Linked DNA regions of Cricetulus griseus. The protein of the gene in region 2 purifies or fractionates together with the protein of the main gene of each other region. This does not show direct contact. Links are inferred from orthologs where the notes say so. Each region holds a gene or a part of one and is shown on either strand. Other genes may lie near its edges.

Region 1 (3,985 bases), on a different chromosome or scaffold from region 2:
CTTACGTCAGTATTTGCCCTGAAGCGTTTTCAGAACTGGTCTGGCCTCCGGGTCTCCGGATCCCAATCAGCGACTGCAGAGTGCTGCGAGCCATGAAATTTAACCCTCCCAGTGCGCCAGGTCGTGGAGCCTGCGGCCCGGAAGGAAGCCTTAAAGCGCTCAGGACGAAGGCCAGCAGCAGCCTCTCCAGGGCGGTCCCCTACGGATTTTTTTCCAGGAAGGAAAACAAAACAATCCCTGACTCCACGTGGGGCTTAGTTAGACTCTCCCGAAGCCAGAGTAGGAAGGTGTAGCCCCGCTTTCTCAATCCAAGGGCTGAAGAACCCAGGACAGCCAGAGAGAGTTCCCCAACTTCCACCCCAATACAGTGTCACCTTTCCCACCCGCGCGATCTCGACTGGGAAGAGCAGGCAGGCTGGAACAATAGCACAGACGTGCAGCTTGGGGTCCAAGCAGGACCCCTCCGAGAGAAGAACACGGGACCTGAGCCTGACCCGGGGCTCCGGGTACCCTGTAGGGCTCGTCTCTGACCGCTGGGCGATCGTGAGATCCGGGACGAGTCTTCCCGGCCGTCGCTCCTAAAACGATTTAGGGAAAAGCCCGAGAGACTAGGACTCCCCTGGAGAAGCAAAAGGCGGCCCTCGTGAAAAAAGAAAGAAAAGTAAGCAAAATCGCCTTAGCAGTTCAGGCTCAGGTCAACAGCAGCGTTTCCCCCAGCAGCTGACGGGTCAAACGGTCAGGAAACAACTGCAGAGAACAAAGCCCCCCGCTGTTGCGCAGGGCCCGCTCGCCCGCACCCAGCAGCTTCCCAGTGCTTTTCCGAGGGGATCGGAGAAAAGGGTTTTTCACCCAGCCTCCCTTCCTCCCGGTGGACAGGTTCCTGGAATAAAAGTGTAATAAAAGGGACCAAGCGCCTCCACAGAGAAAGGGGCGGCTCTTGGCAGCCGGGGATCCGAAATACCTCCCGGGTTCAAAAGCGAAGACCCGACCCGCGCGAAAGAATGCGCGGAATGCGGCGGCCGGAGCTAAGGGCGCAGCGCGGCAGGGGGCGCCCGACCCCCGCGCTCACCGCGGGTTCCGCAGCCGGAGGGCCCGCACAGACGCTGGGTTGGCAGGTGCGGCGAGCCATCGGTCCCTTTCTCCAGGGACTAGGACAGTGTGCGATCTTTTGGAGGTATCTGACTTCTACATTTGAGAAGCCACCTTCTCTCCGGCCGCCTATTTAGGCCAGGGTTCGCTTCAACCAGGCACGCGCCGCCAGCAGAGAGTCGAGAATGGTGTGTGAACAAAAGGTAGTGATTCTCCGCTGCCAGGATTAGCGGGAGGAGACGCGGTTCTGCCTGGTGTCCCCCAATACAGCACTCCAGTCTCCCCGCTCCAGGACCCCAGGGCAGGGAGAGTTGGCCGCCTTCCAGAAAAGCTCTAAGTTGGGGCAGCGGGAGACAGATTAGAACGCTCCCCAGCTCTGCAACCCAATTCTCCTTCCAGCATTTACCAAAGGCAGGATTGTGTACGAACACTCGAGGCAGATCCCACCTCGGCGTTCACCTTCCTTCACCCGTCTCTAGGGTTCTCGGGGTCACACCGAACCAACAGGCCTCTCTTGTCCCTGGGGGACTTAATTTAAGAGTGCGATCTCAGCACTCGAAGCTGGCCTGCGCAGAGCAATTGCTGCCAGCATCCAGGCCAGGGCTGTTCTTGTCAATAAACACGTAACTCTAGGAAGCGTGCGGGTGGCAGGTGGCTGGAGAAACACGCCAGCACTCCCCCAGCCCCAGACTTGGGCTCAAAACCACGGCAAGACCGTGCACACTGACACTCACGGGGACTCCCGCAGCCCGAAGTCACTCGAGTACTTCTTCCCATGCCCAGCAGGCCGCCAAGTCCCTTACACCTACCCATCAGCTCGCGCCCGGGCGCCCACGTTTACCTTTAAGCAGACAGATGTCTGTGCGCTCGGCGTTACGGCGCAGCGCTTGCACGACCAGCGACACGGTGCTGTCCTCGCGAAGGCTCTCGGCGCGCGGGCTGCGCTCGTCGTAGACTATAACGGCCGAGTAGAGACCAGAGCGCAGGCGGGCGCGCACTTCTTCCTCGGCGGGCAGAATCTGCTCCAGGCTCACTGAGCCCTTGGCCCTCCGCCTTACGATGGTGTTGCAGCGCACGTTAACCGAGCCTCGGATGTAGCCTGCGCTGTGAGCCAGGAACGGTCTGCAATCCAGCAGCAGGCACTTGCCGCTGCTCAGCAGCCCCAGGGCGCCGTGGTTGCCGCTGCCGCCTGCGCCGCCGCCGTTCTCATCTCGGTTCATCAGCCTTTTGAGCACGCTGCAGTCCATCTCCCGCAGTTCCTCCATCGTCACCATGTCGCCGGGAACTGCAGCAGCTGGGGAGCTGGAGAAGACCAAGGGCACCCGGGCCAACTAGGCTACAGAAAGGAGCAGGCTAGGGCTAAGAGGGCGCCTATCGAAGTGGCCGCAAACTTGGCCCCAGTCTCTTCTCCCCGTACCCCTTCCTCGACCCGCAGACTCGACGTTACATAGCAGTCGGAGCCTTCTCCGGTTCCAAAGCAGGCAGGCACGCGGTCCCCGGGGGAAAGTAGCCGATGAGGGGAGTGTGTTTACGAGAGAGGGCTACCCTCGGTTTGTTGCCTCTAATGTGTTTTGCTAGCTCTGCTGCTCCTGCCGCCAACCGCTCGGGCGCCGCTGTTCCACGCAACACCCCGCCGGAGCTGCGCGCACTACCCCAGCCAGAGTTACCTCCTCGGCTTAGAGATTTATTAATGCTCGCCGGCTCTCCCGGGGGAGGGAAGAGTCATTACTACCTCGCCAGGCCCCGCCCCCCGCGCGAGCTCCCCGCCCAGCCCCGCCCCCACCCCAGCTCGTGAATGGAGGGCCGGCCCCCTCGCACCCAGTCACGGGAACTCGACGTCACAAAGAGAGGAGTAAACAGGGCGCTCGGTGCTTGCTGCCAGGCCCATTCATAAAACTGAGACCTAGAGGAAAAAGGAGGCAGCCTCCGACCCGCCCGCGAGCCGGCAGCTCCCGGACTTTGTGAATGGAGCTGCGGCGCGTCTCCCTGTCCTTCTATAGCGCCGGAGCGCGGCGGAAGCGCAGAGATGGTAGCGGGTGGCGACGCCGGCCTAACCAAGGCCTGGGCTCTCTTGCTGGAGGTCTTCGCCTCTGCGATATCCCCCCCACCCCCGCGGCCCAGTCTTCTAGGTCTGGCTCCTTGCAGCTCAGTGGACCCGGGCGCTGTGTGGCTGCCACCCACAGAGCTTGGGACCTCCTCTCGCAGGACTTAACCTTGCTCTTGGGATCGTGCCGGTTGTGCTTCGTTTTGTTTTTAATGCGATTCCCCAGACGTTGGTTTTTACATTAGCGTGATCGATTTCCACCCTGGCCTATTTCAGCTTTATAGTTTCCCGTGGAACATGGGCAAACCCTGGCTTAGAAGATGAAAGGGAAGATCCTCGCGCCAAAGCCCAGTAACAAAAGAGAAGTGTAGAGTTTGTTACTTTACAACCCAGAGGGGGGCGTTAATTAGCCGAATGGTATGCCTAAGCTTACGTGGTTGGGGAGGGGAGAACACCCCGACGTTTTCCTCTTCGCAGGAAGTCCTCCCTCTCGGACACACGCGAACTGTCCTCTCAGGAAATGACTATTAGGGTCCACATTTGGTGCTAAGGAAGGTGCCGGAAAGTGTCCATGCGAAGACTAATCTTTTGAACGAATTTAATAAGCTCAGAGGCGATTCGAGTTTCTGCATTCCCTCTTTCTAGGTCACGTAGTGTCCGCACCCGGGTTTTACTTTGCCAGAGGCATTTAATTTCCCAAGGGCTTTTTGGCAAGAGGGGAGGTTTGTGCACGCACACGGTGGAGACCTTTCAGAAGCCAAAAATTATTCTGCCGCGATCTTGCCAAGTCTTGTTAGCAAGAATTAATCACCGAACGAGGGAATTACGGGGTTCGCTCGCGGCCTTGGTGGT
Region 2 (4,249 bases):
GGATTTTGTTCCTTTAGTGTTGCAAAAAGAATCAAAGACCTGCTACAGGCTAAGCATGCACTCTACTGAGGGACACCTCCAGTTCCTCTCTTTATTTTTAAACATTTACCTTTTTTTTATCTTTAAGATTGCCTTTAAGATCTTTATTGATGTCTAAGATCTCATTTGCTGGCCACAGAGGAGTCTGCGTCCAGGGACGACAGGGTAGTAATGCCTGAGAGACAAACTGTGTCATTCACTATCTTACCATTGCTCTCCTTGGCACCCACCTACTTTAAGATTACAATTTTCTTCGGGTTCATTCGTGTTTCTGACTGGTTCTGACCCACAACTTGTTCAGATGTTTCAGCCATTCTAACTGTGCTATATTTCAGTACGCCCATCTGGGTTTCTGCTCATCTGTACCAAGCTGGTGTTGTGTGACAAAACACTTCTTGAGAAGACACAATACACACCTAGTCACTACAGATGAGTATGGATACCAGCAAAGTTGAAGAGTGTCCTCCAGCTATTTAAGTTGGTCTAGACCTCTTCCAGGCAGGAGGCAGGAGGCTGATTTCTGCTTCTTCTAAGCAGTTTGGCTGAGTCTTCTTTGCAGCTCCGTGGAGTTCATCGAACAGGGATTCTCAACTTTTATTGCTTACTCCAGCAAGGAGTAACCCGGTGAATCTGGTCAGTTTCAAGGACTCCCAAAGTTCCTTTGTGCCGTTTACTTTCCTGTTTAAGGAGTTTCTCTGCAGGATAGAATGTTTCAATCTCGCAGGAAACGGTTACACAACACCTGGGTCCAGTCCCTGGATTTCAGTCTTTCTCCAGCGTCCTCACCCACAACTCTGTAAACCTTCCCTCCAGTTTTTAATTGTTCACAGCACTTAGTTAAGTGAGCATCGTATTTGTCTGTCTCTTCACCCTAGAAGGGAGAAGTATTCAGCAAATCTTCTTGAACAAACCTCTAATTAGGGGATTCAATGCCTTGTGTTTTGGTTTCCACTTATGTCTCACACTTTTTAGGTGTGAAAATATCTTTCTGAGTCTGGGTCATGCTTTTTGGTTTCTGTCCCAGTTTGGCAGTCTAAGTTCATTAGTGTGAGGGCCACGGATTCCCAGAGGCCTGTCTCAGGGGTCCATTGCTTGGTGTATGCTGAGTCCTCCGGTCTCACGCCAAGTGCCTGGTTCCACATGAGTTCGTCCTGGGCACCGCACAGCGGTCGGACACACTGTGGGGTCGTTACGCCCAGGTTTCCACCAGGCTTTCAAGAGCCACCAAACAAACTGAACGCCCGGTTCTCCAAACGCACGTGACGGCCCTCCCCCGCAGCCGCAGTGCTCCTGCCTCAGTTCGCTGCTTCCGCCGGCCCTCGAGACCCCGCCCAGCGCCGCGAGGAGCCAATCAGCGCTCACGCCCTTGACTCCGCCCCAGCGCCCCTCGACGCCAGCCCCTCCCTCCTCCCGCTCGCTGCCCGCCCGTCAGGCAGGAAGGCAGGCAGTGGTTCACTGGCGGTCAGTTCTTTGCTCTGTGTTGTCTTCGTTCCGCGTTCCCGGTCGCGGGCGGCGGCGGCTACACGGGTGGCAGCGCGGTCCCTGCGGGAGGCGCTGCACAAGCCGAGCGGCGGCCGCGAAGCGTCGAGCCCAGCGCGGCGGCGGCGACTAGGCAGCCAACATGGCGGCGGCGGCGGCGGCGGGCCCGGAGATGGTCCGCGGGCAGGTGTTCGACGTGGGGCCGCGCTACACCAACCTCTCGTACATCGGAGAGGGCGCCTACGGCATGGTTTGGTGAGTGTCTACTCCGGTTTGCAAGCTCGGCCTCACCCGGTCACCCCTGCCTGTGCCCCTGGCTGTTCTGGACGCAGCCGCGGCCCTTCCCGCGCCTTGGCCTCGCGTTCTGCAGCGACCTGGACCCCTGACTCCTCTTTGGTCCACAATCACGGAGCCCGTCGAGGCTTAGTTGTTGCTGGGGTGCTTCCTGGGCTGCCCCTCGTTTGCCGTTGGAGGGGCACCCCACACTGAGGTCAGGACCCGAGGACTTGGTCTCAAGCTCGTACTTTGGAGTCTTCTCCCTTGGGACGGGAACGGAAGTGCACCGTGTCCCCTAATTTATGGCATTATAGCCGCCTTCTTTGACATTAGATCGTAAAACCAGGAATTCCATCACAGGCTTGTCGGTGGTGGTGGAGGCGGCCGTGGTTTTGCAAGCGAGAATCCTCGGCTTGTGTGCTGAACACCAAAATATTTTTCTTCCCTTCCTTGTGTATACGTGAACAGCTTTCACAAAATATCTTCAGTGGAGCTAATGATGCGTTCCAACTTAGGCTTTCTAAAAAGCATTAATGACACCAGCGTTGGTTGTGAGGATATTTAAATCTTGAAGTTTCAAAATGGATGTAAATATCGTTGCGTTGCAGGAAGGATAAGCTAGCATCACTCTTAAAGAGTTATTAAGATGTATTTGGAATTGGGCCTAATTTGACTTTAACTCCTTCGTTACCATCGAGTATTTTCAGACCTAATTTTGCATGGTCACTTGTAGGATTTCTCACCTGATTGTGGAATGATGAAGTGTGTTGTTTTTACTGGAACAAGTATTTGTGTTTTGTACTGAAAACTTGTGGGAGTAGGTTTTCTTACCCCTAAATTTGTGTCTTTTGTGCTAAATGAAGAAAACTAATTTATTGAAGGTCTCTGAGATACTCTGCTATCCGAATAGTTTAATTTTGTCTGGATAGCCATCTTGAGGAAAAAGATACCCTCTTTCAGATAAGGTATAGAAAGGAAGTCCTTTCCCAAGGGCGAAGGACTAGAACCAGGCTCTGATTATAGACAGATCCTGTTTCAAATGCTGCAGCTCTTCAGTCATTACACATGCCTTTCTTTAATGTTAGTAATAATCTTGGAACTTTAGCATATTTTCCTGATGAGCAAGTCTATTTCAGAAATGCATTCAAATTTGAATGGTCATAATTTTAGAAATGGTAGGAAAGACGTGTTTTCCACCAACTGTCTTAACTAGATAGAATAATTAACGTTCTTTTTAAAAAGACTCACAGTGTACAACTATGAAGATAAAGGTGAACTGGTCTTGGGAGTCAAAACAAATTAAATTAGGTCACAATTAAAGACTTATAAAGGAGTACTTAAAAAAGTACTTCCCCTTCACATCTGTCTTGCACATATTGCTGCTCTTGTACCTGCATGCCAGTAACTCTCTTATTATACTGAAGATTGCCAGTTATAGTTTCATTTATTTTAAAAACTAGCTTATTTTAAATAGGCACAAAAATTGAGGATATGTCATTTGGACTCCCCACAACCACCTCTGTTTGATAAGATGGATTATTTAGATTCTGGTGCTATTGCTGCTGTGGAGTTACTTAACCTTTGAAGTTTACAGCTGCTGTGCAAAGTTCTCTTTAAAATTCAAATTTTAGGGGCTGGGGAGATGACTCAGCAGTGAAGAGCAGTTGCAGCTCTGGGTTCTAGTCCCAGTACCCACCTGCAAGCTCACAACTGTCAGTAACTCCAGTTCTAGAGGATCAGATGTTCCTTAGACACAAATTTGAGGGAAATACCCATATTTGTGAAATAAATTAAATTTAAAAATACAAATTTTAATTTTAAGAAAAGTGTAGACCAGGTGGTGGTGGCGGCATACACCTCTAATCCCAGGAGGCGAGGCAGAGGCATGTGTTCTGTGAGTTCAGGCCAGCCTGGTCTACAAAGGGAGTGCCAGGACAGGCTCCAAAGCTACACAGAGAAACTCTGTCTCAAAAAAAAAAAACAAACAAATAAAAAATGCAGGTACAATTGGAATTTGAATCCTGGATCCATCCTTTTATCTCCAGGTTGATAACATCTTAGTATTTGTAGAATATTTTTAATTATAGGTCATTAGCATTTGATCATTAGCTGGGTTTATGGAGAACATCTTGACCTTAAATGCCTGCTTGAATAGTTGTGATCTTTTAAAAAGCTAGGCTTAACAATCAAGACCATCTTCAGATCCCAGCATCTACATTAGGTGACCCTCTGACTTCCAAGGGCATCTGCACATATGTGGTTCAAAGAAAACTCATATGTACATAAACATACTAAAAAAATAATTTTAAAAACCATGAAAAAATGTTTAAGGGATTTTCAGCTATCCTTTAGCAGGGTTTTCCCTAAAGTAGTTCATTGGAAATTGTGCCTATTTTGGTTAGATTCCCCTTCCTTATGTAGAAGACAAAAAGATAAGATTGGGTGGTGGGTGCTC
Region 3 (3,875 bases), on a different chromosome or scaffold from region 2:
CCCAGAGCCACAAGAGGTCTAAGCGCTAGCCAGAGAGGCAGGAAGGAGACTACACCAGTGAAAGCTGTGAGACCTTTTCCCACAAGTGGCCATTTGGGGACAGGGAAGGAACTAAGAGCAAGTCCCTGTGGCAAAGTGTGATATAATCTTCCTGAAGAGGAAATGGCAAGGGACAGAGCCCAGGCACCAGGCAGCAGTCTGGAATGGTCTCTTGGATAGGAAGCCCCACTCCCACCCCGAAAGAATAAAGTAACAGTCACAGAAGAGGCATGGTCCTGGAGCATGGTCCTGCCCTAAAGTGGTGCGAGTCAGGTCTGTATCCATGGACCCACCCATAGGCACGTGTAATAGAACTGGGGTAGGGCAGGTCTCTGCTGTGTTCCTGCTTTGCTGCACCACCCCCGCTTGAGGTATTGAGCTCCCCCCCCCATTATGGCTGCATCCCATCCCTGCTAATACATGGGTCATAGGTAGGGACCAGCCCAGCAACTCCACATGGCTTTATGTGGGGTCCAGCTCAAAGACCCCATCGCTGGTAGGGGTAGTAAAGAAAGAAGGTGGGTCTGAGACAGTGGACTCTGGTCCCCCACTGCCCTGTCCCCCAGAGCGCCTCTCCTCCAGGCGCAGGCTTCGCTCAAAGTCTAGCAGCTGGCCCATGAAGTTGAAGTTGGGCGAGATGTTAGACTTCTTCCGCTTGACCAAGTCGTAGGCATCATTGAGTGAGAGGTGGAGCTTCTGCATGAGGTAGGCCACGGTGACAGTGACAGAGCGGCTGACTCCTGCCAGGCAGTGGACGAGCACCCCACAGTTCTGGGACAAGGCCTCATCTAGGTAGAGCAGACAGAAACATCCCCCCACAAGGCAAGGATCAGCATGAATGAGGCCAAAGCCCAGTGAATTTTGGGGGATATCATCACAGTCTCTCCACCCCACCTAGCCCTTATCTGGGAGGTTTTACTGGCAGCTGACCTGAGCTCTACTCCCACTTCCCCAAGTGCCTTGTCTGCTCTGGGTGAGGGTAGCTAAACTAGGCAAAAACTCCTTTACAGGAGAGGGTAAGGAGCAGGACAGACCAGGAGTCAGTCTAGTAGGTGGGGACAGGTGGAAAGAGAAGACAGGGAGGATAGGGAGAACTCACCAATGAATGCAATGGCCTCTGGAAAGAACTGGGACAGATTCTGGCTCCAGTGGTCAGAGATGGGGATTTGCTTGTAGTGGAAGTCACCATTCTTCTCAAAGAGGTTAGGTAGGTTGGGGGTGACATTGAGAATATAGCGGATGCCAAGCTTGGCTAGGCTCTCTAAGTTGGCTGAATCTCGGGCACTGCCTAGGTAGAGATTGGGCAGGATCTGGACTGGGAACGGTGGTAGCAGCCCAGCTGGAGGGGATGTGGTACTCTCCGAATCTAGGCCACAGCTCATGGAGTCACGGTCGGCCTCAGACTCTGCATCAGAGGTATCAGAGCCCAAGCACAGGCCACCTAGCCCCACCACAGGCACTGGGCTAGGCAATGCGGCCAGGCTTGATCCAGCACAACCACTGAAGCTGGTTTCACAAAGGTGAGGACACTCGGCCTGGAATTTGCTGAAACCACCTGTCAGGAAAGAAAGAGGTGCTCTTGCTATTATAGCCAGCTGGGCAGCCAGGAATCCCTAGCTGAGGCTAGGGAGGTGACCCTAACAACCTAGGTGGGTTGCAGATATTGCCGAAGGGAACACACAAACCAGCAGTTTAATCTTTACTGGAGAGCCACGTGTGGTGCATACTATGGACAGCCATCTCTCACTTAGCACTTGTGGCTGTCTCTCTGTATGGTGCAGCCGCTTGCTCTAGGGAACATCCTGTGAACTATGTTGTTTCAGGTCAATTCTCCCTATTTTCCAGATTTATAAATGGGCTTGGACGGATGAAGGATTTGCCCAAGGTCACACTTAGGTCTGCCTTCCCAAAAGCTGTCTGGTAGGTTACTGGGAGCAAGTATTATATTAACCTACATTTTAGACAAAATGCGATGGGGTTTGCCCAAGGATAAAATAATTATGAAATCCCCCTTGGAAGGCAGGACCGTCTCCTGACCTGAGGCCATCACAGGTTCCCTGTGCCCTCTCTCAGCCCACTGCACCTCACGTACCCTGTAGGTAGTAGGACAGGTAGCCTTCTTCCCGCAGCTTCTGGAGCAGAATGCCCAGCACCGAGTCAGCTTCCCACTCTGGGGCTTCGGCCTCTGCTTCTCCATGCCTGGATCGGCCACTACCCTGGTCGTATAGGAGCACAGGGGCGGGTGGGGGAGGCTGCAGCGGTGGCCCAGGCAAGAGTGAGCGTACGGACAGGCTCCCTCTCCGCAGGCGGCGCAGCATCAGGGCAGGCAGGACCACGCTCAGCGCCCCGCAGATGCGCGCTGACTCGTACAGCTCCCGGCTCCGGCAGTCGAGCAGTAGAAGCTGTGGGCGCGGGGGCGACAGCTCCTGCCGCAGCCACAGGCACGAACGACCCAGACTCTCCATGGGTGCGCAGCGTTCTGCACTTCTGTCCGTCGGGCAGTGTGTGCTGTGGAGAGACCTAAGGCGCAGAGTGAGGGAAGGTTTGTCTCTACTCTCGCAGTGTGGACCAGGCTACTGAGACGGGAAGTCAGGCCCTGTCCTGAGGGCAGGCGCCCAGTGTCCCTGCAGGGACATTCCTCCACCGCCTGCTTCTCTCCTTGCGCTCCACCCACAGTGAGAAAACCAAGGAAGGCGCCCCAGGAAAAACACCCGAGGCCGCCGCCACTGGGGTGTTGCTCCCTGTCCCGCTTAGATGGAGTTTGTGTAAGACATACCCCAGAAGGAGAAAGTCTAGCGGCCTCTTGAATGAAGACTTTCTTTTTTTGGGGGGGGGGGGATTCTAGGAGGACTAAATCCAGTTCCCTCCACACCCGTTTTCTGACTTTCTCACTCGCCCCGATCTCCATCACTCCCCAAGTTCGACTTGGGGTGTGTGGAGAAATTGGGTTCAAGGCCTGAATCTTCTCCAAGGCCAGGAAGAACCAGAAAACAAGAGGGTCACCGAGGTGATGGGCCTAGGCGAGTCCTGTAAGAGCTGACTCGGCCCCACTCCTCCCCACCCCAGGAGAGAACAAAAGGAGAGACCTGGAGCCAGATCCAGAGGCAGGCGGCCGCGCGTGGACGTCCTGGCCACAGCTAGTGCCAGGGCAGGGCGCAGGTATCGTCCCTGGAGAGGGAGTCCCCAGGTTTGGGCGCTCGGAGAGGGCGGGGTGGCGGATCAGGCTCGCACGTGGAAGCCAAGCCTCGCGCCACTCGTGCGCTGGCCGCTTCCTGGCAGCCGGATCCAGCTTCCACCTTGGGAGCCGCGCAGCCTTCGGACCGACTTAGTAGCTGCTCGGAGGGGGGGGGGGGCGGTGGGGTGGCGGGGCGGGCATACAGGCCAGGCCAGCCAACCAGTGAGAACGAACAGCCGGGTGGGAGTTGCAAGCAGCAAGCTGAGCTAGGGCTTCCACCCAGGCGGGACTGGGTCGGGGCAGAGGCCAAGGGCAGGTCGGGGGCCCAGCAGGGGACCAGTGGCAGTTGCCCCTGCTCGGCGCCAGTCTGGTCCCTGGAATCAGGAAGAGGGGTGGGGACAAAAGCCCAGCACCCCAGAACCAGAAACTGCCTCAAACAACTCACTTAATAACCCTTAACTATTAGCCTTTGTCTGGAACTAGATGGCCCCCATCTGTATAATGGGCTATCCAGAGCCATCCAATTTGGCTGTGAAATGCCACCGAAATACTGAAGGCACAAGGCAGCTCCTGTGTTCCTTATTCTCATCTGGGCTTCATTTGTACAGGCCTGGCTACAGGTACCCAGGAATTCTGAGCACCCAACTCTATTAAACTCGGG

Evidence for each region. Proteins that work in one complex are often made in the same cells at the same time.
Region 1: the proteins of Mapk1 (region 2) and Dusp4 purify together in Homo sapiens (affinity purification with mass spectrometry; 6 studies listed by BioGRID and IntAct, with this or other methods). This does not show direct contact. The link is inferred for Cricetulus griseus from reciprocal best matches to the Homo sapiens genes MAPK1 and DUSP4.
Region 3: the proteins of Mapk1 (region 2) and Dusp9 purify together in Homo sapiens (affinity purification with mass spectrometry; 5 studies listed by BioGRID and IntAct, with this or other methods). This does not show direct contact. The link is inferred for Cricetulus griseus from reciprocal best matches to the Homo sapiens genes MAPK1 and DUSP9.

Annotation. Positions count from the first base shown.
Region 1 is NW_023276807.1:50,092,658-50,096,642, forward strand, and holds the start of Dusp4 (dual specificity protein phosphatase 4), read right to left. Parts: upstream 2,802-3,985; 5' UTR 2,364-2,801; coding exon 1,931-2,363; intron 1-1,930. UniProt on the Homo sapiens protein: Regulates mitogenic signal transduction by dephosphorylating both Thr and Tyr residues on MAP kinases ERK1 and ERK2.
Region 2 is NC_048597.1:72,356,856-72,361,104, reverse strand, and holds the start of Mapk1 (mitogen-activated protein kinase 1), read left to right. Parts: upstream 1-1,445; 5' UTR 1,446-1,660; coding exon 1,661-1,773; intron 1,774-4,249. UniProt on the Homo sapiens protein: Serine/threonine kinase which acts as an essential component of the MAP kinase signal transduction pathway. MAPK1/ERK2 and MAPK3/ERK1 are the 2 MAPKs which play an important role in the MAPK/ERK cascade.
Region 3 is NC_048604.1:2,101,938-2,105,812, forward strand, and holds Dusp9 (dual specificity protein phosphatase 9), read right to left. Parts: upstream 2,505-3,875; coding exon 2,132-2,504; intron 1,595-2,131; coding exon 1,139-1,594; intron 828-1,138; coding exon 502-827; downstream 1-501. UniProt on the Homo sapiens protein: Inactivates MAP kinases. Has a specificity for the ERK family.